Elephas maximus indicus: one gene and its partners. The main gene of each other region encodes a partner of the protein of the gene in region 3 in a complex. Links are inferred from orthologs where the notes say so. Each region holds a gene or a part of one and is shown on either strand. Other genes may lie near its edges.

Region 1 (6,924 bases), on a different chromosome or scaffold from region 3:
AGAAAACGAGGGGCCACCAGGATGCTCCAGAGGGAGTGGGCGGCTCAGCCTGAAGCAGGCTCCCCACTGAGAGGACTTCTCTGCCCTGCCAGGTCGCACCTCTGTGGTGACATTATGCTGTTAAACTTTCCAGGAGAATCAGTCTTGTCTCAGCCACACTGCTGGTCTCCCGAAGGGCAAGACCCTCCTGGTGTCTTAGCAGTCCTCAGCCCAGGCCCGGTGGTCCCTGCTAGGCCCCAAAGTCCCCCTCCCAGCTCTCTATATCTCCCGCATGCTTCCTTCCCTCGTCATCCTTCTAACCATGCCTGGCACATTTTAAGTACCTAATAGGCACACCTGAAGCCCTGGTGGCGCAGTGCTTAAGAGCTCGGCTGCTATCCAAAAGGCCGGCAATTTGAATCCAGCAGCCACTCCTTGCAAACACTATAGGGCAGTTCTACTCTGTACCACAGGGTTGCTATGAGTCAGAAACGACTCGACAACAATGGGTAATAGGCACCTAAAGACCACTGCATGTGGTAACAAAACATTTCTTTTAACCTAGGACCGTGAGCTTCACAGGCTTTGCAGGAACACCAGGGCCAGTGGGGGATGGAACACCCTGTAGCTACCCAGTCGACATGGCTTGGTACCCGTAACTTAGGCATAGGTTCCACGGGTTTAAAACGAAAAGGACAAGGCCTGAACTCACCTCTCATATATTCGATGGTGCCATCAAGCACGAGGTTGAGGAGGGGGTCAAACCCTTTCAGGATTCCACTGGCTTGTAGAAACCACCAGAAGGAAAGGAGAAACGAGAAGGCGTGAGATCAATATCCATTCTTTGGATGAGTATCCTCGGTGCCCCAGGGCCAGGCAGGTTCACACTCCCACAAAGGACCACCTTTCAGGGGAAGAGGAAGCTGGGGACTAGGGGGAATGGGGAGGAGCCCTGAAAGGAGAACAGGGATAGCCAGCTCCAAGCAGAACGAGACGAGACAAGCCAACGAGCAACGGCGGAAGCCATTCAGCAGGACAGGGACCATTTGGTGTGCAAAAATAAGATACTCCCTGTCTGGCCCTTGATGGAGAAGTCTGCCCGCCCCTGGAGTGGACGGCCACCTGACTGCCCAGGTTTGGGCTTTGACTCTGTGGCTTCCCACTGTGTGACCTCCTCAGGCTCCACCTCTGCAAAACCATTGCCACCGAGTCAATTCTGACTCCCAGCAACCACGTGGGACACAGTAGAGCTGCCCCACAGAATTTTCTAGGCTGTAATCTTTACGGGAGTACATTGCCAGGTCTTTCTCCCACAGAGCGGCTGGTGGGTTCAAACTGCTAACCTTTTGGTTAGCAGCCAAGTGCTTACCCACTGCACCAGCAGGGGTCCTTCCTCCTCTTCAAAACGGGGCTCATAATGACAGCCACCTCACAGGGTTCAGATGAGCATCAAAGGCAATATTGCCAGCCAAGCACTTGGTGGGGGGCTGGGGATGCAGTGACCCTGCTCTGCCCATGGGCACCGAGCAGAACCTGGCCGAATCCTGCCCTCAGAGAACATACCATTTCACCACTAGATCCCCGCAGGGCAGAGTTAAGTGCCACGTTAGCAAACATAAAGATGCAGGTGGCGACATGTACTTGTTGTTAGCCGCCCTCGGTCGCCCATACTACCCCACACAGGAACAAAACGCTGCCCGTCCTGTGCTGTCCCCACAATCAGCTGTGGATCAGACGTTTGGATCCACAGGGTTCTCACTGGCTGATTTTCAGAAGTCAATTTCCAGGCATTTCTTTCTAATCTGTCTTAGTCTGGGAGCTCTGCTGAAACCTGTTCATCCATCACAGCAACACACGAGCCTCCACAGGTCGGTGGTGGCTACACATGAGGTGCACTGGCTGGGAAATGAACCTGAGTCGCCCACATGGAAGGCAAGAATTCTATCACCGAGCCACCGGTGTCTTCCCCACAGGTGCTACTAGGAGCTTAAAACAAAGGGGACTGACCTGAGGTGGAGGATCAGGGAAGGCTTCCCAGAACAAATGCCTTTGAACTGGGAGCAGGTTAGCCTGGCAGTTCACCTGGTGAGAGTATTCCAGGCAGGAAGCAAACGTGTGCCTTTCCAGCCCTGTGGCTACAGGTGCTGCTCAGACATACAGATTTAGATTTTATCCTGGCACAATGGGGAGCCAAGGGAGGGTTTAAGCAGGGAGCAGAGATTCAAGTTCTGTTTTTCACAGATTTCTCTGCCCACTGACTGGTGATTGACTGCCGGACTGGGGTTCTTCACCAGGAGCGATTCTACCCGAGAGGATACTTGCAATGTCTGGAGACATTTGTAGCTGTCATCATTGGGGGGGGGGAGGGGGAGGGTTCTACCGGCATCGAGTGGGTGATCGGGGTGCTGCTCAACTCTCTATAGTGCACAGGACTGCCCCACCCCAGAGAACGATCCGGCCCTCCAGGCAGCAGTGCCCAAGCTGAGGAACTCTGGTGTAGAGGGAGCAGGAACGGAAGCCCCTGGGAGGGAGCTGGAGGGACAGGACCGCACAGGAGGCAAACTCGTGAATCCCAATCCCGGCTGCGTCACTGTGACTTTGGGTTAAGTCTGTTCGCCGCTTCGTGCCTCAGTCTCCCCATCTGCAAAATGGGCACAACGGCATCTACCTCCCAGCGCTGTTAGGAGGACTGTATGAGTTAGTTCGCGTGCAGCCCTTAAAGCAGTGTCTAAGCGGAGAAAACGCTGCCTAAAAATTAAGTTGTTATCGTAGCTCTTGTTAATTATTTTAAACAGCTATAAGAGGGTGCTGGCGGCAGCGGCTGCCTCACCTTCGCGGCCTCCTTGAAACTTCACCCGGATCGTCTTATCGATGTACTTGGATAAGTCCAAGATGCTCTCCTTCTTCTTCTTTTCTTTGTCCTGCGAGGAAAGCAGAGCGCGTGAGGCGGAGAGAACGCCCCGCCAGCCCCACGCCGCCCGCCCGGTCCCGCCGTGCGCCCACCGCCATCTTGCCGCGCCGCGCCGCTCTGCGCAGGCGCCGCCGGCGCGCCCTTTGACGTCACCCACGCGCGTACAGGAGCCGCGCAGCCCCGCGCCTGCGCGCAGCGGCGCCCGGGGCGTTGCTGGGAAACATCAGCCGACGGCTGCGGGGACCGGCCGACATGGCGGTGGCGGCGGCGGCGGCGGCGCTGGCGCGGCTCTGGGCGGCCTTGTTTCTCCTCGCGGCCCAGGTGAGGGCTGCGTCGTCCCGGGAGCCCCGTACGCTGCGGCTCCCCTTTCCCCGCGCCCCTGGGGACCCTCTCGGGATCCAGCCCGGCCCGGCTGGGGGCAGCTTCGGGGACCCCGCGCCCCCCGTACTCCGGCCCCGCGGGTCCGGGGCCCGGAGTGACCTTGGGGGCTCGTCCCCAGCTCCTCTCCCTCCTCGCCGCGGAAACCCCCCCTAGCTGCAGTATCGCCCAGTTCCGGCCCGGGCTAAAGTTGTGGACCCCCGTCCTCTCCCCCCCGAGTCCTGCTTGTCCGTCTCGGGGTCTTCCCCAGCCGCCGCCCAGGACCCCGCTCTCTGGCTCTGCGGCCTTGGCCCAGTGACTGAGCCTCTCCGAGCCTCAGTTTCCTCTTATGCGAAATGAGCGCGATGCTAGCACACGCCCCGGGGGAGCGGGGAAGGCCCTGGAGGGGGTCAGCGCGGGATCCCCGTGCCTGGCAGCGTCGCGACAGGGCTCAGAGCCCAGCCCCGGACTGGGGGGAATCCTGCGCCCCATCTTTTACTCTGTGACCTTGGGCAAGGGAGTTCCTCGCTTTGAGCACCAATTACCTGTCTGCACAAGGGGGGGCAAGAGCAGTGTGGACCAGCAGAGGGCTGAATATGTTACTTATTTGTCGTTTCATGTTAAGGATCTCAGTTTCTTGTGGGGCACCGATAACAAGATAGCTGATGCTTGCTGTCTGTCATACCCAGAAAACCAACCATAAGTGCACCTTTTTTCCAAACCTCCCGTCTGTCCTGGCTTACGCAGCAGCTCTGGGAATGGTGCGCGATCAGCGAGACCTCGCTGCTGCTCTTTAACGTTGAGGACTCCTGCCTGACAGCTCTAACTCCTCACACGTCTTAGGAGCCTGTCCACCACCACCTCTGCTGGGGCTCCCCTCCCCTCTCCCTGTGGTCACTCAGGTCCCTCCCCCCGAATCCCTCCAGTCCACTCTTCACACAGCAGGGGCCATCTTTTCCAGAAGCGTGTCAGACCTTGTTGCTTCCAGATGAGAGCCTTTGCGTGGCTTCTCATCTTTAGAAAGGTCTTTGTGATGTGACTGCTCACAGAGCCACTTCCTCCCTCCCTTCCTGACTCAGACAGGATGCAGATTTTATCGGTGACACTTTGCTCTCTGATCTTTTCTATTACCCTGGAACTGGCTTTCTCCACTCCTGGCCTGGTTAACCCCTAGTCATCCTTCCCGTCTCTGCTTGCCTGTTCCTCCCTCCCAGAAGCTGTCCAGGATACCCTCTCCCCAGCCCCCCCTTACTGCCCACATTGTAGCACTGAACACGTGGTACCTGCCTGGTTATTCATCTTCCTCGCTCACCAGCCTGTGACACTTTGAGGGCAGGGACATTGAGCTCTCGAGATGTTTTGCATGAGATTCAGAAAAGAAGAGGTGGATAAAGAATCATGGGAGTGCCACAGAGGGCATGACTGGTGAATTTGCCTGGGAAAGCTCTTAAGGAGCAGTGACACCTGAGAAGGGTTTTGAAGGATGAATAGGAGTTTGTTGGGTTGGGAAGGGAGAGGAAAGGTATTGTAGGCAGTGGGAGTAGCATGACCAAAGCCAGGAGGTACAAGAGCTGATGATTATTTGAGGACTGTAGTCTGTGCATAAGATGGTCTGGTGCTTGGAGAGGGAGCTTACATCCAGAGAAAGGCCCTTCCCATGGGTCTGAAGGAGGCGGCAGGGAGGGGCCAGTTGGGGGTGTGGCTTCAGGCAGACGGTCAGATTGGGCAGAGTCCACAGGGCCCACAGCGCTGGGGAGTTGGCTTTATCCTGAGCAAGGTGAGCCACAGAGAATCTCTGAGCAACTCAAAGAGAGCAGTGGGCCCTGCTCTCCCTGGACCCTGGTTAAGGCCCCTTGTGGGCACAGTCCTGGTGCTGTGGGGCGTCTTCTCAGTCGTGTAGTGGAAATGGGTATATTTGACTCCTGGCTCCCAGGAGTAAGATTAACTCTCCCGCTGGGTGGAGGCTGCTCAGTGACAGTCCTGAATTCACAGGCCACTGTCTTGTGACCCTGGACAAGAAAAGTGACCTCCCCAATACCACTCCCCACTCCCATTTACTATGAAAGGTATATGAAGTGGAATATGAAGGCTGTCCTGTCGCCTCAACCTGTGCCTCCTCCACCTTAATGTGTTTTTTCCCATGATTCTTGGGTCCTGATGATTTCACCGTCTCCAAGATTTCACTAAGTGTTCTTGGAAGGAACAGTCCTTGGCTCATGCAAAGGGTGAACATGCTCAGCCGCTCACTGAGAGGCTGGAGGTTCAAGTCCACAAAGAGGCACCTTGGAAGAAAGGCCTGGTGACCTACTTCCGAAAACTCAGCCACTGAAAACTCTGTGGGGCACAGTTCAGCCACCAGGAGCAGGGTCGACTCCCTGGGCACTGGTTTACTGGTTTTCTTGAAGGAAGACTGCTCCATAACCTGGCTCCTTGGTGTCTTTTAAACCCCTTGGATGTCGGCCACTTCCACAGAGATTCTGGAGTTTCCTATATCTGCTTGGTAACTGTCAGAAGGCAGACCCCCATCCTTGTTCCTGTCCTAGGTATCTCTGGTTCCCCAGGCACAAATGGAGCAGCCTAGAGTTCAGGGTGTTTGTAGAATGTGTGTCACTGAAGAACTGCCAGCTCCCGTAACTCAGCAGGCGAGAGGGTGGCGCCTTCTCGGTGTTTGATAAAAGCTCGCAGCCCTTTTTTTAAGGGAAAGCCAGTTTGCTTTGCAGATTTTGTGAGGGCAATCCGTGAAGCCTACTTCTGCACCCTTAAACGAGCTCTGTAAAAGGAAGTTTCTGTCAGTTCCCATATTACACGAATGGGCCCTTTCACCCACAGCCTGGATCCCGTGGAGCAGGCTTCAGTTAAGGTTCTGTGGGAACCTTCTGGTCTGCTGGCTGTGCCGCCTGTTGCCACTACTCAGCCCATTATAGTGAGAAAGCCACAGACCACAGGTACATGAGGGGCACAGCTGTGTGCCGGTACAACTTTATTTACACAAGGAGAAGGTGGGCTGGTTTGGCCTGTGGGCTGTAGACTTCGGACCCCTGCTGTGGAACGTGAGTCCTCTCAGAGCAGCCCAGGCAGAGCCTCACTGGATGCCGGGGGCTCTGACTGACCGCTGGGGCTGTGGGAAGGGTGCACTGCTGACTGAAGGGTGTCTGCGGGGGAGTTGGGGACGGGGACCCCTTATCCTGCCTTGGGGCCCAAGAGAACCTTGGTCACGTCAGCCCTTGCCTCAGCCCTTGGTGAAGCGCCTCCCGTGGCGTCAGCCCTCCCCAGTGGTGGGGCTCATCTCCCCCTTGTCCAGGCTACCCTTTGTCACCAGGGCAGGGACCAGGGGACCCCGAGGAGCAGGGCGCTCATCCCTGCCCTGTGAGAAGGGCAGGGGCCACAGGAGCACAGAGAGCAGTGCACCACAGGGACTCCAGGGCCGAAAACTTGGGGACAGCCCCAAGGGTTATGGTGTGACACGGTGACCAGCTCATGACTGCCCTCCTGAGGCCCATTGTTCCCCTGGCAGGCCCAGGGGGTCTTCCCAGACCCAGAGGTGGGACTGCCTTGGGCCCCTTGTCCTGGGCCACATATAGTGGAGCAGCCAGGACCTGGGTCTGAGACCGCAGCCACTGTCCTTGTCACGCGCTGGGGCAGGGACTTTGGGCCTTTTGGCTGAGCTGGCGCGCGGG
Region 2 (7,041 bases), on a different chromosome or scaffold from region 3:
CCTCCAAAGAAGACACACAAAACCAAGAAGCACATGAAAAGATGCTCAGCGTCATTAATCATTATTATTGTTAGCTGTTATCAAGTTGGCTCTGACTCATGATGACCCCATATACAACAGAAGGAAACGTTGCCCGGTCCTGCACCATCTTCACAATCGTTTGTATGCCCAAGTCCATTGTTGAGGCCTTTGTGTATTTTGAGTGCCTTTCAACCTGGAGGGCTCATCTTCCAGCACCATGTTGGACAATATTCTGTTGTGATCCATAGGGTTTTCATTGGCTGATTTTTAGAAATCAATCTCCAGGTCTTTCTTCTTAGTCTGTCTTAATCTGGAAGCTCTGCTGAAACCTGTTCACCATGGGTGACCCTGCTAGTATTTGAAATACCAGTGGCATGGCTTTCAGAATCGTTGTTGCTGGTAGGTGCCATCGAGTCAGCCCTGACTCAACGGAACAAAACATTGCCTGGTCCGCCGCCTTCCTCACCATTGTTGCTATGTTTGAGCCCATTGGTGAAGTATCATAGCAATACCAAAGCCACCACAGTATGACAAACTGAGACAGGTGGTGGCATTAACCATTATTGTTGTGTGCCATCGAGTCGCTTCCGACTAATAGCTACCCTATAGGATACAGTAGATTGCCCCTAGTGTTCCCTAGGCTGTAAACTTTACAGAAGCAGACTGCCAGGTCTTTTCTCCAGCGGAGGCACTGGGTGAGTTCAAACCACCAACTTTTTGCTTAGCGTCTGAGCATTTAATCATTGGGCCACCAAGGCTCCTGGTTGGTACAGGTAATTATTTCTCTTTTCAAGGAGAAGGGAAGGAGACCACTTGCTCCTTCTGCCGGGTGCTCAGGCCCTTCTCCCCTCAGCCAGGCCCCAGAGGAAGAGGTTTAGTGCCTCCTGCCTAAGCCTTTCTGGTGGGAGGCATCTAGATCTGCAAGTTCCAGTCCCCTCTGCCCAAGTCTCTGCGGCCTGGCACAGGGGAATCTTTTATTGAGAAGCCGAGCTCTAAGGGCTTCCTGTGCAGAGTCAAGCAGTCCTTTCAGCCAGAATCCCTGGCCCAGGGCTGGATGAGAAAAAGCTCACAGGCTGTTCCTGAGGCTCAGCTGGCCAGGAGAGGTGTGGGCCTTGAAGGGGGGTACCTATTGCTCCGTTTGCAAACCTGACGGCATGTGGCCAGAGGCTAGAGCCCTGCATGGCCACCCAGCCGGGACTCTCCTGGGACTGAGGCTGCAGTCACGCTCACAAGCGTATGAAACTACACAGGAGATCACCTGGGAGCAGAAATTAACTATTCAAATAGACATCTACGTTTACAGGAGTCATTATAGCTAACACCTGCTAAAGCGAGTGGAGCTGTTATTGTTGTCTTTTGCCTCTTAGTCAATTCTAATTTACAGCAACCCTGTGTGTTACAGAGTAGAAGTAATCTTGGCTGTAATCTTTATGGAAGCAGAATGCCAAGCCTTGCTTTGGGTGCTGCTGGGTGGGTTTAAACCACCAACCTTTGGGTTCCAGCTGAGCTCAGTGTGTGCCACCTAGGGACCTTATCATCAGAGGGTCTCTGTTGACTCCACAGCAAGTTTTAAGGAGTCCCAATGGCACAACAGATAAGCACTCAGCTGGTAACAGAAAGGTTGAAGGTTCAAGCCCACGCAGCGGCTCTGCAGGAGAAAGGCCTGACAATCTGCTTCTGTAAAGATTAAAAATTACACTCAAGAAAACCCTATGGGGCAGTTCTACTCTATCACATGGACTTGCTATGGGTTGGAATTGACTCGATGGCACCCAGCAACAATACAACAGGGTCTTGTGGATGGGGTTGTTGTTGGGTGCGATCGAGCCAATACCGACTCATAGACTCATAGTGACCTTATGTACAACAGTAAGAAACGTTGCCAGCTCCTGCACTATCCTCATAATTGTTATGTTTGAGCCCATTATGGCAGCCACTGTGTCAATCCATCTCATTGAGGGTTTCTCTCTTTTGTGCCACCAAAAAGATATGTCCATAAGGTGATTACGAGCCCAAGAGACAGCAAGGGCCATATGAACCAGAGACTACATCATATTGAGACCAGAAGAACTAGATGGTGCCCAGCTACAACTGATGACTGCCCTGACAGGGAACACAACAGAGAACTCCTGAGGGGGCAGGAGAGCAGTGGGATGCAGACCTCAAATTCTCGTAAAAAGACCATACTTAATGGTCTGATTGAGACTAGAAGGACCCCGGTGGTCATGGCCCCCAAACCTTCTGTTGGCCCAGGGCAGGAACCATTCCCGAAGCCAACTCTTCGGACATGGATTGGACTGGAGAATGGGTTGGAGAGGGATGCTGGTGAGGAGTGAGCTTCTCGGATCAGGTGGACACTTGAGACTATGTTGGGATCTCCTGCCTGGAGGGGAGATGAGGCGGGGGGGTGGGTTAGAAGCTGGCAAAATAGACACGAAGAAAGAGAGTGGAAGGAGAGAGCGGGCTGTCTCATTAGGGGGAGAGTAATTGGGAGTGTGTAGCAAGGTGTATATGGGTTTTTGTGTGAGAGACTGACTTGATTTGTAAACTTTCACTTAAGGCACAACAAATATTATTAAAAAAAGATATGTCCAAGTCCTAACCCTGAGCACCCGTGAATGGGATCTTGTTTAGAAATAAGGTCTTTGGAGATGTCATTAAATGAAAAATATCGAGATTATCCTGGATTTAGGGTGGGCCCTAAATCAAACACAGATACATAGATCGATACCTGCCATCAAGTTGACTCCAACTCATGGTGATCTATGTACAACAGAATGAAATGTTGCCTGGTCCTGTGCCATTCTTACTATTGCCAGTATGTTTGAAGCCATCATTGAGGGTGTTGTGTTAATCCAACTCACCAAGGGTCTCCCTCGCTCTTGCTGGCTTTATACTTCATCAAACATGAGGTCCTTCTGCAGCGATTGATCCCTCCTGGTAGTGTGTCCAAGGCAAGGGAGTTGGGCAAGGTTCTGTTGTGATCCATAGGTTTTTCATTGGCTGATTTTCAAAAGTAGATCGTCTTTCCTCCTAGTCTGTCTTAATCTACAAGCGCTGCTGGTATCTGTCTACCATGGGCAACCGGGCTCGTATTTGAAATACTGGTGGCTTACTTTCAGGATCACAGCAACACACAAGCCACCACAATGTGACACACTAACAGACAGGTGGTGGAAATCCAGGGACAAGTGTTGTAAGAGAAAGGAGAGGGAGAACCTCCAGAAGGAATCAACCTAGCCAATGCCTTGATTTCAGATCTCTGGCCCCAGAACTGCGAAAGAATAAATTTCTGTTTTTAAGCCACCAAGTTTGTGCCCATTTGCTATGGCAGCCCCAGGAAAAGAAAACATGTACCTATTTATCATCTCGCTGACTGGCTCCTAAGCCCCTGGGGGACTGGGAGTTTTGTCCATTTTGTTTAATAAATATTTGTTGCATGCACATGTTTTAAGTGCTTACTATGTGCCAGATACTGTTCTAAGTGCTTTTTCATGGCTTAACTCGATTCATTCTCACCTGACCTTCTAGAGCAAGTACTATCATTATACCAGTTTTGGAGTGGGGTAACTGAGGCTCGGAGAGGTGTGAATGGGGTTCCAACGTACTAAAACACGTGCCCTAAATAAGTATCAACTTTGCTCGTGAGAATTACAAGACTAGCGGTCCCGAAGGGCGACGCAGAGCCGGACTGAACAACCAAGGGGCCTCGAGGTTTAGTCATTGGCAAACGGAAGGCAATACCAGGTTTGCCCACCGCGTGGCGCCCAGGAGACTGGCGAGGGTGTCGGCTTGCGCATGCGTCCTTACCCAAAATGCCGCTTGCACAGGCGCGCCTTGCTTCACGCCCTTTCGCAGCATTCGTCGTAGGACTTTACGGCTTTTCCTGCACGAACACGGCTTCGCCCCGCCCCTCGCGCAAATAGGCTCCGCCCACCTCCGCGGGGAATGGTTGTCCGTTCCCCAACCCCCGCGGTGATTGGCTCGTGTATCTGCCAATCCTCTTTAGCCTAGTGGCGCGCAGTGGGGCTGCTAACAGCACGAGCGGCGGCGGCGGCGGCGGCGGAAGTGGCCGGCGAGCCCGGTCCCCGCCGGCACCATGGTGAGGGGAGGGCGACAGCGTGGTCGTGACGGCGGGGTTTCGCCGGGAGGCGGGGGGACGCGAACGCCAGGGGCCCTCGGGGCGGTGCGGGGAAGAGTGCAGTCCCGGCCTCGAACCCCGCCCCTGGGCCCGTGGCGGGAAACTGAGGCCAGGTTCTCCAGCAGGTCGGTCTCGGGCGATTTAGGGCTAAACGGACGTGCAGTCATCCTATAGCAGCCTGACCGCAGTGCTTTGCATTTCCCTGAGGGGGAAACTGAGGCCCGAGCGGTTGTGAACCCGCCTAGTGCACCGTGAATGCCGCAAAATGGGTTTTCGGGTAGGGAAGGAGCCCCGACCGCATAGAGTGGAAACTGGGGTGCGGGGAGCCAGTGTGAGTTCTCCAGTTAAGCAGGTTCCAAGGATTTCAGGGCTGGAACGTGCCCAGTATGATAGCAGTATCTCTTGTCTTGCCTTCCGTTTTCAGGCTGGAAAATAGACCTAGAGAAGGGATTGCCTTTTCCTGAGTCATACAGCCTGTCGTTTCTGGGTAGATTCGAGCTCAGCGTCGACTAAATGTATTCTCCTGGTTCACAGAATGAAAAATTGAGGCCCAGGGAGAGTGCACGTGTTTTTTGGGGGCTATGGACCCAATAGGCAGGAAAATGGAGGCCCAACGCAGAGGAATTTCAGCAATGGGAGAGGGCCCTCCCGTTTTAGGGAGAGAAGTAGAGGCCCTCGGTGGAGAAGTGACTTCTAGTGTCCACTCTGGGAGACAGGAATTCTGTAATTGGGAGCCACCCGAGGTGTCACTCCACATTTCTCAGAGCTAAGGGCTGTGGTGAGCTCGCCCTAAATCCTGCTGGCTGGTGTAGAGACCAAGAGAAGGGAACAGGCATCTCTGCTGGACAGAAACAGAGATGGCACAAGGGCTTGGGCAAAACCAGAAAGACCTATCAAAAATTAAGTTCCGTGAGGCAGGATATTTGTTCCAATCCCTGATGGGCCCCCTAGAGACTAGAGTCAAAACCAAAGCTTACCTTGCAGTTGTTTCCAGCTTATGGTGACACCACGTGTTACAGAAGAGAACTGTGCTCCATAAGGTTTCTTGGCTGTAATATTATGGAAGGGGATCTCCAGGCCTTTCAGAGAACTGCTAGGTGGGTTCTAACCGCCGACCTTTAAATTAGCAGTTAAGCACAAACCGCTTGTACCACCCAGGACCTGGAGCCTAGAACGGGCCTTTGCAAAGCGTGGACTCCATGCTGTTCCCACTTTTGAGACATGGACTCTTTGAGCCCTGACCCTCCAGGCATTTCCTAGCTCAGAGAGTGGATGCATTGAGATGCATTCAGCCTGTGGTCAGGGACAGGCTGGAGGGAGGGTCCTGGATGAGAAACCATTGGAACTCTTCCTCAGTGGGTCTAGACTTGAACTCCAGGTCCCAGACATCTGAGAAAGGAATGATTTTTCCTCAAAATTTTGTGATTTTCCTGCCTCATGGTGGCCCTGTCTCCCCTGAACCAGCCTTCTCCTGTCTTACTCAGCACTTTCACGCATCTTCCTCTTTCCCACGAAGTTTCAAGTCCTTGAGGACCCGGCCCGTTTATCTTGCTTTTCTCTCCAGCACAGTTTGGGGACAAGAATGCAGAAGGAGGCAAGACAGGACCACTGCCCACAGAGAGCTGCCTTGGCTGGAGGTCAGCAACCCCAATCCTGGCGCCTCCACTTCCCAAATGTAGTTATCATGTGCTGTTGTTGAGTTGACCCAAAGTCACGGCAGCCTTATGTACAACACAGTGAAACATTGCCTAGTCCTGCATCCATCTCACAATCACCAGCATGTTTGAGTCCATCCTTGTGGCAATTATATCAGTCCATCTCACCGAGGGTCCCCCACACCCTAATTGGCTCTGTACTTCACCAAACATGATGTCCTCCTCCCGCAATTGATCTCTCCTGAGAACATAGCCAAAGCAAGCAAGTTGGACGGTATTGTGTTATGACTTGTAGGGTTTCCATTGCCTGATTTTCAGAAGTAGATTGTCAGGTCTTTCTTCCTAGCTGGCTTAGTCTGGAAGCTCCTCTGTAACCTGTCCGCCGTGGGTGACCCTGCTGGTGTTTGAAATGCTGGTGGCATAGCTTCCGGCTTTGCAGCAACATGCAGGCCACCACAGTAGGACAAACTGACAGACGGGTGGTAGTCTCCCCATCTAAGTCCCTGCTTTTCCTTCTATGGGAGGGGACAAGAATATCCCGATGCATCTTGTGTGCTTACTTGAGGAATGTGCGTCGTTTATTTTTTCAGTGAATGTTTACCTTGCCCGTCTCCTGTGCCTGGCACTGAGCTCAGCAAAGCCCACGCCCTCTGAGCTCTCCAGTCTAGCAGAGACCTGGCATTTCCAGTCTAGCCAGGGAGGCAGTTGATAAACAAACAAGCTAATTAGAGACTGCGTAAGTCTCTAGATGGTGACAAACAGCGGTATGTGAAGTGGAAACCTCAGGTCCTGAATGAGGTTATTAGGAATGTGTGCGCCGACACTGTGGGCAGATCAGGGGAGGGGGCAGGGCAGGTGGCCTGGGCAGGAGTGGGGAGCAGGAGGCTGAGTAGCTGGAGCTGGGCGGGCCTGGCTTGGGAAGCACCGGGGAGCCTACTGGAGGGTGGTGAGCAGGGTGCGGCTGACCCCATTTGTGTCCCAGACATTCCTTCCACCTGCTTGGTAGGGAGGGGACTGTCTTCCCTGGCTGCGCTGGGCCACGTGATGCCCTGAGGGTGGCCGTCACGGGTGTGGGGGTCCCGCGAATGCCATAGGAGGATGTCCAAATTGTATGGCCACAGCAGACATTAGCCTCCCTCAGCTTTCCCCGGGGCCTGGCTGTGTCCCTAGCAGGTCCCTCTTCTGGGTGCCAGATGCCCTGTGAAGTGAGGGGATTGTGGCCTA
Region 3 (7,522 bases):
GGCACCCCACTCTGCCAGGAAGCCTCCTGCCTGAAGGTGCTCAACTCTCTCACTCTATGCATCAGCCAGCCAACTGCAGCAGTCTGCCGGTCCTGTGCTGCTGCCATCTCATGCCACTGCCATCTCATGCCACTGCCATCTCCAGTGTTACAGCTCTGTCTCCTGGGTCTAGGAGGTTTTCAGCACAGGTATGCTTAGGACAAAGGATGGACTCTGCTCCTGGCTCTTCTTGATGGTAGTGAGGCCTCCCCTCAACCTTTGGGATTGGCTCTTTTCAAGCCTTTTTGTTTTTAGGATGACAAAACTGACCAATTCCCTCAAGGTTTCCATGCACTTTATTTGCATTAGCAGGCTGTCCAATATCCGCAAGGGTTCCATACACCTTATTTGCATAGTCCCAGCCAATCATTTTAATGGGATTTACAAGTCCATGGCCAGAAGACCATATAAAAGCGATTCATTGCACCGCATGAGGTAATAGTAAGACCAATCTCATTGGATTATTGTAACCATAAAATGAACTAATTCATGTAAAGTTGTTAGAGAGAACCTGGCACACAGTTCATGTAATTAGGCATGTTATTCACTTTTTGAGCTTGGGTTTCTCATCAGTAAAATAGGGATAGTAATAGTGCTTACCATGTAAGATTGAGGATTTAATAAGCTTATTTATTTATTAACTTTTTACTCTGAAATAATTTTAGCTCACATAGAAGTTGCAAAAATAGCATGGAGAGCCTAAAGATAGGCAGAAAGATTAATAGAATAGTCCAGAAACAAAAGGTCAATTGATTTTCAACAAAGGAGCCAAGGCAATTCAATGGGGGGAAGAACAGTCTTTTCAGCAAATAGTAATAGGACAACTGAATATCCACATGCAAAAGAATGAATTTGGACCACTACCTCACACTATATACAACAATTAACTTGAAGTGAATTATAGAACTATATTTAAGAACTAAAACTGTAAAACTCTTAGAAGACAACATGAGCATATGTTCCTGATTTGTGTAACACAATTATTTCTAAGATATGAGGCCAAAACCACAAGTGATAAAACAGAAGATTGACAAGCTGGGCCTTATTCAAACTAGAAACTTCTGTGCTTCAAAGGGTACCATCGAGAAAGTGAAAAGACATTTAATAACCAAATCTCAGAAGTGCCATCCCACCACTTTTGCCATATTGTCCTGTTAGAATTGAGTCGGTAAGTCCAGCTACTTCCAAGGGAAGTAAATACTAAGGGGCAGGGAATACAAGGGGATAAAACCACGAGGTAGGAATCACTGAGAGCCATCTCCAAGGCTGCCTACTACACTGGAAGAGGGAGAGGGGAGTGGGGTGGCCATAAGGTTTATGAACAGACCAAAGTTCATGTTTTGGAGTGTCTGGGGATCTAAAAAGCTGCTGTTGGACAGGTCAGCACGAGGCAAGGATAGAGAAGCCAAGAGGTCAAATCACGCCATGTCTTGGCTGCAAAAAAAGAAAGTGAAAAGACAATTCACAGAATGGGAGAAAAAAATTTTCAAAATGTGTATCTAGAATATATAAATAAGTCCTAGAACTCAATAATAAAAAGACAACCAAATTATAAAATGGGCAAAGGATCTGAATGGACGTTTCCTGGAAGAAGATATACAAACGGCCAATAAAACACAGAAGAAGATGCTCAACATCGTAGAAATTAGGGAAATGCAAATCAAAACCACAATACGATACAACTGCATGTAAACCAGAATGGCTACAATATAAACACAGATAATAACAATTGTTGATGAGGTTACAGAGAAATCACAACCCTCATGAACTGCTGGTGGGTATGTAAAATGGTGCAACAGCTTTGAAAAACAGTCTGGCAGCTTCTCAAAAGGTTAAACATAGAGTTACCACATGACCCAGCAATTCCACTCCTGGATACATATGCAAGAGAAATGAAAACATATGTCTAAGCAAAAACTTGTATAAATATTCACAGCAACATTATTCACAGTGGGCAGAAAGTGGAAACAACCTAAATCCTCATTAACTGACTGGATAAATGTGCTATATCTATACAATGTAATATTATTTGGTAATACAAATGAATGACCTACTGATAGGCTACAATATGGAATGAACCTCAAAAGCATTATGCTAAGTGAAAGAAGCCAGTCATTTATACGAAATGTCATGAATAGGCAAATCTATAGAAATAGAAAGTAGATTAGTGGTTGCCTAGGGCTGAAGGGTATGAGGGGAAAGGAAATGGAAGTCAGTGCTAATGGGAACAAAGGTTCTTCTAGGGATGATGAGAATGTTCTGGAATTAGTGGCGGTAATTGCATAAGTGTAAATATACTAAAAATCATTGAATTGTACACTTAAATTGGGTGAGCTTTATGGTATGTAAACCGCATCCCAATAATTTTGTTAAAAAATAATAGAGAGAATTCCTGCATACGCTTCACCCAGCTTGATAACTTCTTACATAACCATAGCAGGGACAATCAAAACAAGAAAAGAGCAACTACAGGAAATTGATATTGGTACAATACTACTGGTGAAATTACAAACCATATTAGATTTCACCCCTGCTTAGAACAATGCCTGGCACATAGTGAACCTTGTACGGGTGTGAAGGACGTCACTGCAATGATCATGATGAAAATCATAACGATGCTGGACCAATCACAGCCAGGTTGGTCTGCTCGCTGTTCTCAGAGCATGCCACCTTAGTTCCTGTTTCTAAGTGCTTAGTCTACTGGTAAGGGTACAAATCACCTGAGACTCCCTTTTCCTTCCCCTTTATTTCCCCCATCAAATCATTCACACAGTGGCATCTCCTAGGGGGGTGGGGTGGGTGCTGACCGCACCTGGTGACACTGTCAAAGGGGGTGACACCAAAATGACTGTCTATAAAATTTTTGTGCAGGGTTTCAGCAAAAATTTATGATTTTTTATAAAAATATCTCTGTAGTTAGTTATAACAATAACATTTTTCATAAGTCCAGCTTACATGTATCAATATACCTACAAGGCTAAAATTCTATGCTAATTTACTTTTTTAATGCCCTCGGTAGCACTGGGGGTTCATGCCCTTGGTCAGCGCTGTCATTATTACCCAATCACAATGATGATTCGAATCACGTGGACTGCACATGCTACAAGAACTGCTGTTTTTTGTTGCTGGTGTTTTTATAGTTCCTGGTTTTGTCAAATTTTCTGGTGTTTTAGCTACAATATTGTGGTAATTAGTATTTGTGAACCTATACAAATAGCTTTTTTGAGAACAAAGTAGTAATAAAGGGAAAAGAGGGAGTGATATATGGGAATGATGATTTACAAGTATCTCTAGTACAAAAAACATTCCTAAGGATTCCTTGTGGTCTGGTATGGGGGGAGGTCCATGGCAGGGGTGACACTGTGAGTTACTGCATTGGGTGACACTGACCCTAGTGACCTGCTGGATTCACATCCATGATCTCTGTAAAAACTTCTTTAATAATTCTCCTCCCTTCTCGGAATGTATGAACACCCATACCGACCAGCACTTGCCTGTTCTCTAGCTTGCATTTTTCTCTAATTATTTCACATTTGAGTTCTAAGTTTCCATTAGACCGAGAGGGTGTGTAGGCTACACTACCTTCAAATCCCCCACAATAAGCTCGGTGGGAATTCCAACAAACTTGTCTATTGACTGAGTCAGATTCAAAGTTTTTACAGAAACAGAGCTGCAAAGGGCGGAGCAAGAGGGACGGAATGTGAAACGAGGATGGCAGGAGATGGAGAGCAATTCAGGCAGCAAGACAGAATCTGGGCAAGTCAAGAAGCATTTATAGGGTGTCCACTGTACTCCATGGGGTGCCCATTACACTCCATAGTGTAATGAAAATCATTGCCAGAGAGAGAAAAGAGGAATAGAGAGGGAGGGGGTAAAGACACCCAACAATGGAGTTCCCCACGGTATCTTCTGCAGTCAGGGTGAAAAGCCCTACTCCGGGACTCTCATCACACAGCATTTGTTAACAGCCTGCGTTCTAGTCTGACTTCCCCGCTAACCTGTGAGCTCTGTGAGAGCTTGCGGTTCGCTCTTCCCCTGGTATATCCCCAATGCCTGGTACTTTGTGGGGACTCTATAGATGGTCCAATGAACGAACAAAGGACTGATGGACCCGGAACTAGTCCTGCATCTCAAATCTACATTTATGAAAAACAGACTCAGAACAATGTGCAATTTTGACAAATTGAAACTCTGAAGCTCTAGTCTCTCCTTCCTCACACTAGAACGCGAAGCGCCAACTAGACGAAGTCTACCACAGGCCCCAAAATCAACCTCTGAAAATACGGGAGGCGGGGCTTGTGCCTACCCCTCCACAACCCCTTGAGTTCAAGTCCTTTCCGCATATGCACCCGCCCCCTTAACCCGGCGCGCAGTTCTAATTGGTGAGTTCTCTAATCCATCTGAGAATCTGGTCGCCTATTGGGTTAACTGCTAAACCCGCTTGCGCATCTTCCGGCGTTGGGAACGCAGAGCGGACGTAGCTTTGCCGCCATTGCGCTGCGGGAAGAGCGGCCGTCTGAGCGAGGGGGCTGTGGGGGTGCGTGGTAGGCTTTAAGGGCCGGACTGAGCGGCGGGAGGTGTTGGGCCGGGTTGGGTGCACTCTGCACAAGGCGGGGCTGCAGGGGCTGGGGAGCAGTCTCCGGGACGCGTTCATGTTGCGCCTCTTCTGGGCCCAGGCCCTATTGCTCGTTGATTGTTCACCCCCTCCGTCCCCCAGATTCTCCAGGCATGGCTGGAGTATTTCCTTACCGGGGGCCGGGTAACCCGGTGCCCGGCCCTTTAGCCCCGCTGCCGGACTACATGTCGGAGGAGAAGCTGCAGGAGAAAGGTGAGGAAAGTGTGCCGGGATGACGCGCGCGGGCCCCGAGACTTAGGGGCCGGTGTGCGCGCGTGCGCGCGGGGGGTTTGGAAAGCCTTTCCTGGGGCAACCTAGAAAGTTTCCCCCCCACCGCTTGTCAGGTCATTACCGGTAGATGTGGACTCCCTTTTTAGCCCTATTTATTTTTCAACTAGTGAAGTATTTTTAAGCGTTTGTTATTTGTAGGAGCTGATCTAAGTAATGGGGAATATAATAGCGATGAGGACAAAGCTGTTGCCTCTACGGATTAAATTGCAGTGAGGGAGATAGACAATAAAAAACTTAAAAGTCTGTAAAACATAAGTCGAAAGACGAAAAAACAAAAGATAAAGCACAATGAGTTGACAAAAGAATTGGTGGAGATTGTTCTTTCTAGATGGGGAAGTCACCTTCTCCACATCTGGGTGCCCCGCCCCCCTCACAGGCCCGGACAGGTGCTTACCCTAGGGCAGGAGATGGGGATCATTAGGCTAAGGGAGTGCAGTTTTTCAAACTGAGATGCCTTTGTAGCCCGAAAATGGCAGCAATTGCAGGCCAAGCGCTACGCAGAAAAGCGGAAATTTGGGTTTGTGGATGCTCAGAAGGAAGACATGCCTCCAGAACATGTTAGAAAGATTATTCGAGACCATGGAGACATGACCAACAGGAAGTTTCGCCATGACAAAAGGGTCTACTTGGGGTAAGGAACATCTGGAATTATTTCATTTGGAGTTTAGCTCCTTTACTTTCTCGCCGCCCTATAGGTTGCAGTGCTAGATAGCTGCTCTATCATTTGGGGACAGGACTCTACAATGACAGCCATCTTGGCGTTTGTAGAGAAAGAAGGAAACCACTAGGATTCTGTGACAATTTGCAGGTTTTCCAGTTATGCTCTTTATTGCTCTGATTTTTCTTCTTTATCTGGGGCTGGGGCTTTAATTTGTCTTTTTGGTGCTTTGGCTTTTCTTCATATGTTCCTGTCATTGAATGGATTGAAGTCCAGAGTGGGACACTTTGTACTTTTAGCTGTCTTAAAACCTCAATGACCAAAATTCTGAGGTTTGAGATACTTAGTGGCACAATGATTAAGAACTGGGCTGCTAACCAAAAGGTGGGCAGTTTGAATCCACCAGCTGCTCCTTGGAAACCCTACAGGGCAGTTCTAGTCTGTCCTATAGGGTCACTATGAGTTGGGATTGACCCGACGGCAGTGGGTTTGGTTTTTTTGGTTTGAGGTCTGTATATTCTCAGGTACAAATGCCTTAGCAAATTCCTGTCCCATTTGGACATAAAAATGTTAGCCAGCTAATGAACTGGTCTGAGGCAAAAATATATATATATTTTAAATTATGCTAGATTCTAAGGATGTAACGGTCAAGAAGGCAGTAACGATCTCTGCCTTCATAGAACTAACAGTCTAGTGGCATGACAGACGTGAAATGGTTACAATGAAGTATGATGAATATTTTATTTTTGTTACTTGTGGGAAGGTACAGAAATAATAAAATGTGAAAAGCTGGACAACAAAGAGGGTGTTGTTTTGTTGCTTTAAAGGGACTACTATCCAATATTGCAGGACCGTAAAGTTTAAGGGGGAAGGTGGTGTAATGTGAGGTTGGAGAGGGTAAGACATGTTTCTGATCCTGGAGGGCTTAGGTGTGCTAAGTTTGGGAGTTTGGACTGTAAGGCAGTGTTTTCTGTGGAATGTGGTACTGTGATACCATGTGGGTTCTCTGCTGAGTGGCGGAACACCTTGTCATGCTTGTTAATTTTTCTTTTCCTAATGCCACAGTGCCCTAAAGTACATGCCCCATGCAGTCCTCAAGCTTCTGGAGAACATGCCCATGCCTTGGGAGCAGATTCGGGATGTGCCTGTGCTGTACCACATCACTGGAGCTATTTCCTTCGTCAATGAGATTCCCTGGGTTATTGAGCCTGTCTACATCTCCCAGTGGGGGTGAGAAGGGCTGGAATATGGTGTGTGGTGGTGGTGTTGGCTGAAGGGGCAGTGAGTAGAAGTTGTGTAATGTTCTTGACTTCCAGGTCGATGTGGATTATGATGCGTCGAGAAAAGAGAGACAGGAGGCATTTTAAGAGGATGCGTTTCCCCCCTTTTGATGATGAGGAGCCACCCTTGGACTATGCTGACAATATTCTAGATGTTGAGCCACTTGAGGCCATTCAGCTAGAGCTGGACCCAGAGGAGGATGCCCCTGTGTTGGACTGGTTCTACGACCACCAGCCATTAAGGGATAGCAGGAAGTGAGTGATGGTTGGAGTTACTCTATAAGAGTTCTAGAAGCCTCGGAGTCCCGGGTGAGCAGTAGGTGGTATGGCTCTGCTAGCTGGTATACTTACCTGACTTGGTCCCCTTTTTTTAACCCTAGGTATGTGAATGGTTCCACTTACCAGCGTTGGCAGTTCACACTGCCCATGATGTCCACTCTCTACCGCCTGGCCAATCAGCTCCTGACAGACTTGGTAGATGACAACTACTTCTATCTGTTTGATCTAAAGGCCTTCTTTACCTCCAAGGCACTTAATATGGCCATTCCTGGAGGCCCCAAATTTGAACCTCTTGTTCGAGACATCAACCTGCAGTAAGTTGGAGAGAGTGAGGATTTTAGCCCTTTAGGCCTAGTAAAA
Region 4 (6,948 bases), on a different chromosome or scaffold from region 3:
GGTTAACAAGTAGCCCTGGTGGAACAGTGGTTAAAGCGCTCGGCTGCTAAAAGAAAGGTCTGCAGTTCAAACCCACCAGCCACTTTGCAGGAGAAAAGATATGGCAGTCTGCTTCTGTGAAGATTTACAGCCTGGGAAACCGTATTAGGCAGTTCTATTCTGTTCTAGTGGGTCACTATGAGTTGGAATCAACTGGATGGCCGTGGGTTTGGGTTGGTTTGGTTCTTAGGCTAACAACCTAAGAACACTGAACGGGAAGCCCAAAGGAGACTGGAAAATAGTGTAACTGATGGATTTTCAGATGGCAAGCAGAGTCCAAGTGGAGAGGCCGCAGGATGTTGACAGGCCCAGGCCCTAGTCCCTGAGAACAAAGGTGAGGTGGTTCAAGAGACCAGAGAGAAACTCCCAAGGAGCAACTTTATGGGAAGAAACACCCAAAGGAGCAAGGCAAGTGCAAAGGGATTGTGGAGAAGGCCCCCGGCTTCTGGTCCCAGCATAGCCAAGGCCCCAATACACAACTAAAGGCTTTTATTCGGAAAGAAGCAGCCCCCAGTGTCCTCACTTCCTGAGACAGCTGGAGCCTCCCCCACAGAGTCCAAGAAAGAAGGGGCCACTAAACTCGGCCCTCAGTGGGCTCAGGTGTAGAGGTCAAAGTCAATCCGTTTGGAGTTGTAGAACTGACCACCAGGGGGGTCCAGCTTCCGGCAATACACACCATCAGGGAAGTAGCCTTCATTCACCCAGGTCTGCAGGGAGAGAGGGCAGAGCTAGGGGAGGAGCTGTGGAGGTGGGGGATGGGAAGCACAAGGCAGAACTAGGTAGAAAAGGACTTACCTGCATCTGGGCACTGGTAAAGGGCCCATATAGCTCAGCATCCCGTGTGTTCTCCCATTTGTATTCCCACATCACATCCACTAGACCATCCCCTGGCGACTCTGCTTCTAAAATAAGAGGAAAAGCAATCTGGGCCTCAACCACCATGCCTTCTGCCCACAACACCCCTCTTCTGCCCTCCAAGCTTACCTCCTCTTTGGGCAGGGGTTGGGCTCTCCAGCTCCTCCTCTGCTACTTCCTCAGCAAACATGTCCAGAGAGGGTGGGGGTGCAGGGTCATGGGATCCCTGGGTCCGGCACCCCAGCCCCTTCAGCCGCATGGCCAACCGTTCCCGAGTCTCCTGGTACACACCAAGGTTGCCCCGGGCCACCATTTGGTCGGCCAACCCTGAGAGCCGGTCTAGGCGCTGTGGGGAGCTGGGCCGCCCAGGCCCTTTGCTGTCCCCTTTGCCTCCGCCTCGGGCCCCCAGACGCCTCAATGCCCCAGCAACTGTCTCCCTCGGCAACAGCAGCTCCAGAAGGCCCTCCAGAAGGGCTTGGGCACTCATCGGTGTCTGGCCCAGGCTGTTCTCCTCCTCTGAGTCTGACGTCTGATGCTGATCAGGTGGTTGCTCCCTAATCTTTACCTGTAAATATGAAGACAGAAAAGTTATTCCCTACAAATTGCCAGCAGGGCTCAGACTGCACATTTTCTGCCCACAGACCCCAGTCATGCCAGCCCCTGGGCCACACCCAATCAATGTTATCCAGCCAGTTGTCTCGGATCTGAGCATCCCGGTTCAAGAAGTAGTTGCCATCGGCATCAAAGCGGCCTTCCTCCATCTCTTCCTGTAGGTTGAAGGGTGTGATCCGCACACCTCCCTCGCTGGGGAGTGTGGCTGCTTCCTGACCTGCACCAAAGACACACATGCTCCATGCTAGGTGTGCAAAAAGAGGCAGTGGCCAAAAAAAAAAAAAAAAAGGCAGGAGCCTCCCTTGTCCCACAGCCCCAGAAGCCCCTCCTTGTCCCTCTGGCTGAGTCACATCTTCAGTATAACTCACCCTCCACATCTTCTGAAGCCAGGATGTCGTATTTGCTGGACCCCTCCTCATCGTCATCCTCCTCATCGCTGTCCAAAGAGTGTTTACCTTTGAAGCGGCTCCCAGGACCCCCTGCCCCAGCCACAGGATCCACCAGCTATGAGCAAGAATCAGCAAATCAAGAGATGCGGGATATTGGCTACTCCCCAAAATACTCCAGGATTTGGACCCAAACTGAAAATTCTTCAAAGTCATTCCTCAGAGAATATTCGAAAACCAACCCACTTTTTGTGTCCTCAGCTTTATTTCTCTTTCAGTTTCTAGCTTCTCTTTTCTCCCCTCACTCGTCCCAGAACACAGGAGTCTGGCCCCCTCACCTTCTTCTTGGGGACACTGATTTCACTCTCATCATCATCATCATCATCTCCCACGCCCTGGAAAGTCACTTTCCTCTTTGGCATGACGGGGCAGAGAAGGCTTCTCTAAACTGTGCTGAGAGAAAGCAGGCGAGGTAAGAGAACTGGAGGGGCGAGGAGGGGACTCAGGCGAGAGAGCCCCGCTCCCACCCCCACAACAAACATTTCACCAGGTACATCCTGTTCGGGAGGGGAGGGAGCACAGGATGAGTCCGAAAAGGGAGCTGGCAGCCAGGCAACTCCCTTGGTTCGGGATTCCAGAGGGTGCTGGAACCGGAAGAGAGGGTATCTCCCCATGGTATTCCCACCTTTAACGAAGAGGCAACCGGCTCTCCCACGTGACCACCCCCTCCCCGGCTCCCGCAGTCCTAGGCACGGCGGCACTCTGGGGGCTGACAGCTGGCCCCTCAGGGTCCCCAGAGCCCGCGGGGCCCACGCAGCCCCAGGATCTGGAGCCCTGGCCGCCCCACTCCTCCTAGCGCCCAAACTCCCAACCCCGCGGGGAGACCTCCAACTGCCGGTGCTATGTATACAAACTAGAGGGGCTGCAAAGCCAGGGGAGACTCAGGAAGTCCCACTGGCGCGCGCTCACCTGGGGCTCCAGGGGAGACGGGGGAAGAAAAAAAGAGATGCTTTCGCTAGGGATATATCCGGGGCGCCTGACCGCCATCACCCGGAAGAGAACTGCCGAAGGCGCCAGGGAAGCTGGAAGTGACTTCACTCCGGTTAGAGAACTAACTGAAAGAGCGGGCGGAAGTATGCAATGAGCGAGGGACGACCTGCCAGAAGTGACGTAAACTGGCGAAATGACAAAAAGGGATCGTATGACCGCTTAGACTCGGATCCGGCGAGGGAGGTGGTGTGGATCCCCTCAGGCAGCAGTAGAGGTTTTGGGGAGAAAGTGGAGTGCGCTCTAATTCAAGGGGCGCCCAGAGTCAGCATGGAGGGGCAGAGTCCGAGCAGGTCCAGTACATTCCTAGCCGGTTACCTTTTCAGGGTTCGATCACCCTTTTTCCACAGCTAGCTAAGGGCTCTACGCCCACCATCTGAGGAGAAATCATCCCTGCCCACTCCCAGCTGTCTGCTCCGTTCTTAGTGTCAAGAGACGGAGCCTTTTCTCTGGGGAAGCCTGCTCGACTCTTCTGATGGCCCACTTTGTGGCCCCTGACCACTCCTAGGTCTCTCAAACACCGAGCTCCCTTTAGGCCCCAAGGGAAGTCATTTGCTCCACACCTACCCCCAGAACGGCTCCTGGTTTCTCAGGTGGGAAAGCCACCAACAGGAGAGGTAGCCAAGTACCCAGGCCAGAGGCCTCTCCTGTCCCTCTCAGGTAGGCCTGCAAAAGGGTAGCAGTACCTCTCTCGAAGTGCAGCGCAGGATAAAGCCCCCACCCTTAGCAAACAAAGCCCAGGTGCTGGGAGCTTGGCCCAAGGGGGTGGGGTTGGGAGGTGGGAGGAGTGGGTCCCATTACTGTGGTAAAGAGGTCCCAAACTCTAGTGGACACTCAGGAGCTTGAATCCCACTAGGCTAGTGCTCAGAAGCCTGCTGAAGCCAGAGGACACCAGCAGGGGGCACCTAGGGCGACCATCTGGCCCCTCCTCTCTCCCGCTCCCTGGATTAAACCACCGTGAAACCTCACCTAGAGTCTGTTTTATTCTGGGGGTCAGAGCACAGGTCCCAGATCGGGATGGCTTCTTGCTAAAGAATGGGGTCCAAAACACCAGCTACCAGTGCTGCTGTTCCTCCTCCATGGAAACCTACCTGGAGCACCAGGCAGACAGCACACACCTAAGCCTCGTCCTGTTGGAGAACTGCCAGGTGGAGCCACACCTTGGAGCCGTGGAATCCAACATGGAATCCTACACCTTTAAGGTTCTGACCCCTGAGGTGGAGGGCACAGAGGGTGGCATGGACCTATCAGCTGGCTACAGAAAACCAAGAGCTGGAGGGCCTGGCATGGGCACTGGCCAGAGTGAGCTGGAGCCGGCTGGCAGCACTGCTACCCTCTCTGGAGTCCCCAGTACAGGAAAGTGTGCCAGGCGACTGGCCAGGAGCCCAGCTCACTCTCAGAGAGCTGTGGCTTTCTAGCCACCCTCACTCAGTACCCCCTCAGGCTTCTAGGAGCTGCATGAGTGCTTTAGGAAGGAGATCTGGGTGCTGCAGGAAAAGCGTAGAGGGCTCCAGACCAGTGACAATGGAGAGAGCAAATTCCAGGCAAAGCTGAGGCAGGAGCTCAACCAGTTTGTTGATGAGCGACTGAGATGGACCAAAGGCCAAGAGGCACCTGCCAAGACCAGCAGACTGCTTTGATAGAGACCCAGGTCCTGTCTGTCTTCCCTTCCTCCCTAGCCATTACCCCCACACCTCCTTCATCAAAAAACAAGGCAGAAGACAAGCCCAGGTACAACAGCAGGTTCTTTTCCGGTTCCTCAAAGCGCCACACGCACAGGGCGGGGGCAGGGACAGAAGAAAATGTAAACATAGGGTTCCACCCCTGGACCTCAAGGGAAGACTCCTCTGATAGGGGATGGAAGGAAACAAGGTGAAAGGTAGGGGCCCTCGTGAGACAAAGCAGGGGAGGCCTGAGAACACAGAGGAGGGAGAGCATGAGGGCAGGGGTGGGGAGGTGGGGGACATTTCCTGTTCCAGTGCATGTCCCCTTAAATAAACTGGGACACGAGCATTGTGGAAGGAGAACCGAAGAGCAGAAGATGGAGTGAGCATTCCCCCCCCAGGCTGGCCAGGTCCTCTGTACATAATTATAACAGAGATGTCCAGAAATAGATCAAGGAGAACCTTGGCCCCCAGCCAAGAAGTGGGGACTGGCAGGACTGGAGGAAGGAAAAGGGAACCCAGCTCCACCTCATAGGTAAGGGAAGCCACTGGAGTGTAAGAATCTGAAAACTGCAGACTCCCATCACCAAGAGTCACCCCCGTAATGACAAGAAATCAACCAGGACAGCACCGGGGAGGGGGACCCCACAGGGAGTTGGGGCAGGAGTGACAGAGACCCTGGCTGGGTCTGTCTGGAGGTAAGGGGCTCCAGATTTGCTCCTGGCTGCCTCAGGGAAATGCAGCTGCCCCATGCACTCTGTCTTGGCTGTGTAGGATCAGCAGCTGGCATGAGGAGATAGGGTATCAAGCCACCTTCCTCTGAGAAGGACGGCCTACCAAGGGGGCTGGGGGCAGCAGCCCAGGCCAGGCCTGCTCTTGGCTGAGGGGAAAAGGGGGGCCATGCAGTCCAGCCCCAGGGCAGAGGTCAGAAGTACGCATCCTGCCGGGCCTCAGATGCCAAGGACCTGTCCCCACCATCCTGAGGGGCTGGGGGCCCATCTGCCTTTCGACGCAGCGAAAGCTTCCGGCCTTGGGCCTTCTTCTCCTGCTTCTGCCGTTCCTTCTCCTGCTTCTGCCGTTCCTTCTCCAGCTTCTGCCGCTCCTTCTCCTGTTTCTGCTGCTCCTTCTCCTGCTCTTTTTCCCACTTCTGCCGCTCCTTCTCCTGCTTCTCCCGCTCTTTCTCCTGTTTCTGCCGCTCCTTCTCACTCTCCTTTTCCTGTTTCTGCCGCTCCTTCTCACTCTCCTTTTCCTGTTTCTGCCGCTCTTTCTCCTGCCTCCGGGCTTCCTTGCTGGTACCCAAGGGGGTGCTGTTGCCAGTAGGTGAGGGAAGGGATGGATGCAGTCCCTCAGCAGTGACCATAGGCCCTGGGGCAGGCCCAGCACTGGCCCTTCGGGCAGGAGGGGGTGGAGAGGGCGCCCCACCACCTAACCGGGAGCCTCGGCTCTTGAGGCCAGGGAGGCTGAGGAGGCTGGAAGAGGGGCCCAGAGGTGGCTGCTGCCGTCGCCGCTCTTCATGGATGGCCCGGGAGCCATGTAATCTCCGTGAGGGCCGATACTGCAGCTCCCCCCGGGTTTCCCGCCACTTCTTGAGCTGCGCTGCGTTTTCTCGCTCAATCAGTGCCTCTGTCACTGGGAGGTTGGTCACCTAGAAAGAGAGGAAATGGGTTGCAGAATGAAAAAGAGGTGCATGGATGGGCCAAAGCAGATGTGGAGTGTGTAGAGTCAAGTCCTACCTCGTGCACAAGGAAGTCCTCCTGCATGCACTGCTGCGGCAGGTTGCGCAGCTGCTCCATGGTCTCATACATGCCTTGGCAGGAGCGCAGCTTCTCCACAGAGCCCAGCGTGTGCCGCAGGAGCACCAGGGCCACTCGGAAGATGATCTTGACGCCTAGAGGGCCAGAAGAGAGCATGGGGGGATCAGGCCCCGGATCTCAGCCAGTCCCATTTAGTAGGGACTCACAGCCCCCATCCCTCTTACTGCTAAATCTTACAGATGAGGAAATTGAGGCCCGAGAAGGAAAATGAGTTGCCACGGGTTTCTGCTTCCTGGGAGGAAGAGCAGCCCTGGGTTGGTGGCACAGCCAAAGATCAGGCCTCAGTTCCTCCAGCCTCCAGGCTGCTTACATTGAAGCCTAGGCCCAACAACTACCTTCTGTCATGGGGCCATGAGAAATGTGACAGGGCCCTCTGGCAGTCACCACAGAAGCCCCAGCCCCTCAGGGCCTGCATGGCCACAGATGTACCTTCACAGAAGAACATGTCCCAGACACGCAGCACTGAGGCCCAGGGCAGGGTGCGGGCAAAAATACACATGAACCATTCTGTCATGTAGAGCACAGGGTCAA

The links.
Region 1: PRPF8 (region 3) and LSM7 share a complex: the UniProt entries of both Homo sapiens proteins name them as parts of the U4/U6-U5 tri-snRNP complex. The link is inferred for Elephas maximus indicus from reciprocal best matches to the Homo sapiens genes PRPF8 and LSM7.
Region 2: PRPF8 (region 3) and LSM4 share a complex: the UniProt entries of both Homo sapiens proteins name them as parts of the U4/U6-U5 tri-snRNP complex. The link is inferred for Elephas maximus indicus from reciprocal best matches to the Homo sapiens genes PRPF8 and LSM4.
Region 4: PRPF8 (region 3) and CD2BP2 share a complex: the UniProt entries of both Homo sapiens proteins name them as parts of the U5 snRNP complex. The link is inferred for Elephas maximus indicus from reciprocal best matches to the Homo sapiens genes PRPF8 and CD2BP2.

The regions. Positions count from the first base shown.
Region 1 is NC_064821.1:3,112,621-3,119,544, forward strand, and holds the start of LSM7 (U6 snRNA-associated Sm-like protein LSm7), read right to left. Parts: upstream 3,011-6,924; 5' UTR 2,989-3,010; coding exon 2,983-2,988; intron 2,901-2,982; coding exon 2,810-2,900; intron 764-2,809; coding exon 692-763; intron 1-691. Other genes in the region: SPPL2B (signal peptide peptidase-like 2B), read left to right, coding at 3,143-3,211. UniProt on the Homo sapiens protein: Plays a role in pre-mRNA splicing as component of the U4/U6-U5 tri-snRNP complex that is involved in spliceosome assembly, and as component of the precatalytic spliceosome (spliceosome B complex).
Region 2 is NC_064821.1:38,290,603-38,297,643, reverse strand, and holds the start of LSM4 (U6 snRNA-associated Sm-like protein LSm4), read left to right. Parts: upstream 1-4,021; 5' UTR 4,022-4,120; coding exon 4,121-4,123; intron 4,124-5,139; exon of another isoform or gene 5,140-6,426; intron 6,427-7,041. UniProt on the Homo sapiens protein: Plays a role in pre-mRNA splicing as component of the U4/U6-U5 tri-snRNP complex that is involved in spliceosome assembly, and as component of the precatalytic spliceosome (spliceosome B complex).
Region 3 is NC_064837.1:20,023,627-20,031,148, forward strand, and holds the start of PRPF8 (pre-mRNA-processing-splicing factor 8), read left to right. Parts: upstream 1-4,503; 5' UTR 4,504-4,576; exon of another isoform or gene 4,577-4,583; intron 4,584-4,756; 5' UTR 4,757-4,767; coding exon 4,768-4,867; intron 4,868-5,407; coding exon 5,408-5,576; intron 5,577-6,668; coding exon 6,669-6,833; intron 6,834-6,919; coding exon 6,920-7,138; intron 7,139-7,263; coding exon 7,264-7,476; intron 7,477-7,522. UniProt on the Homo sapiens protein: Plays a role in pre-mRNA splicing as core component of precatalytic, catalytic and postcatalytic spliceosomal complexes, both of the predominant U2-type spliceosome and the minor U12-type spliceosome.
Region 4 is NC_064830.1:89,630,577-89,637,524, forward strand, and holds CD2BP2 (CD2 antigen cytoplasmic tail-binding protein 2), read right to left. Parts: upstream 3,003-6,948; 5' UTR 2,862-3,002; intron 2,346-2,861; 5' UTR 2,315-2,345; coding exon 2,231-2,314; intron 2,011-2,230; coding exon 1,875-2,010; intron 1,724-1,874; coding exon 1,566-1,723; intron 1,460-1,565; coding exon 1,024-1,459; intron 942-1,023; coding exon 835-941; intron 768-834; coding exon 636-767; 3' UTR 514-635; downstream 1-513. Other genes in the region: TBC1D10B (TBC1 domain family member 10B), read right to left, coding at 5,529-6,248, 6,337-6,491, 6,847-6,948. UniProt on the Homo sapiens protein: Involved in pre-mRNA splicing as component of the U5 snRNP complex that is involved in spliceosome assembly.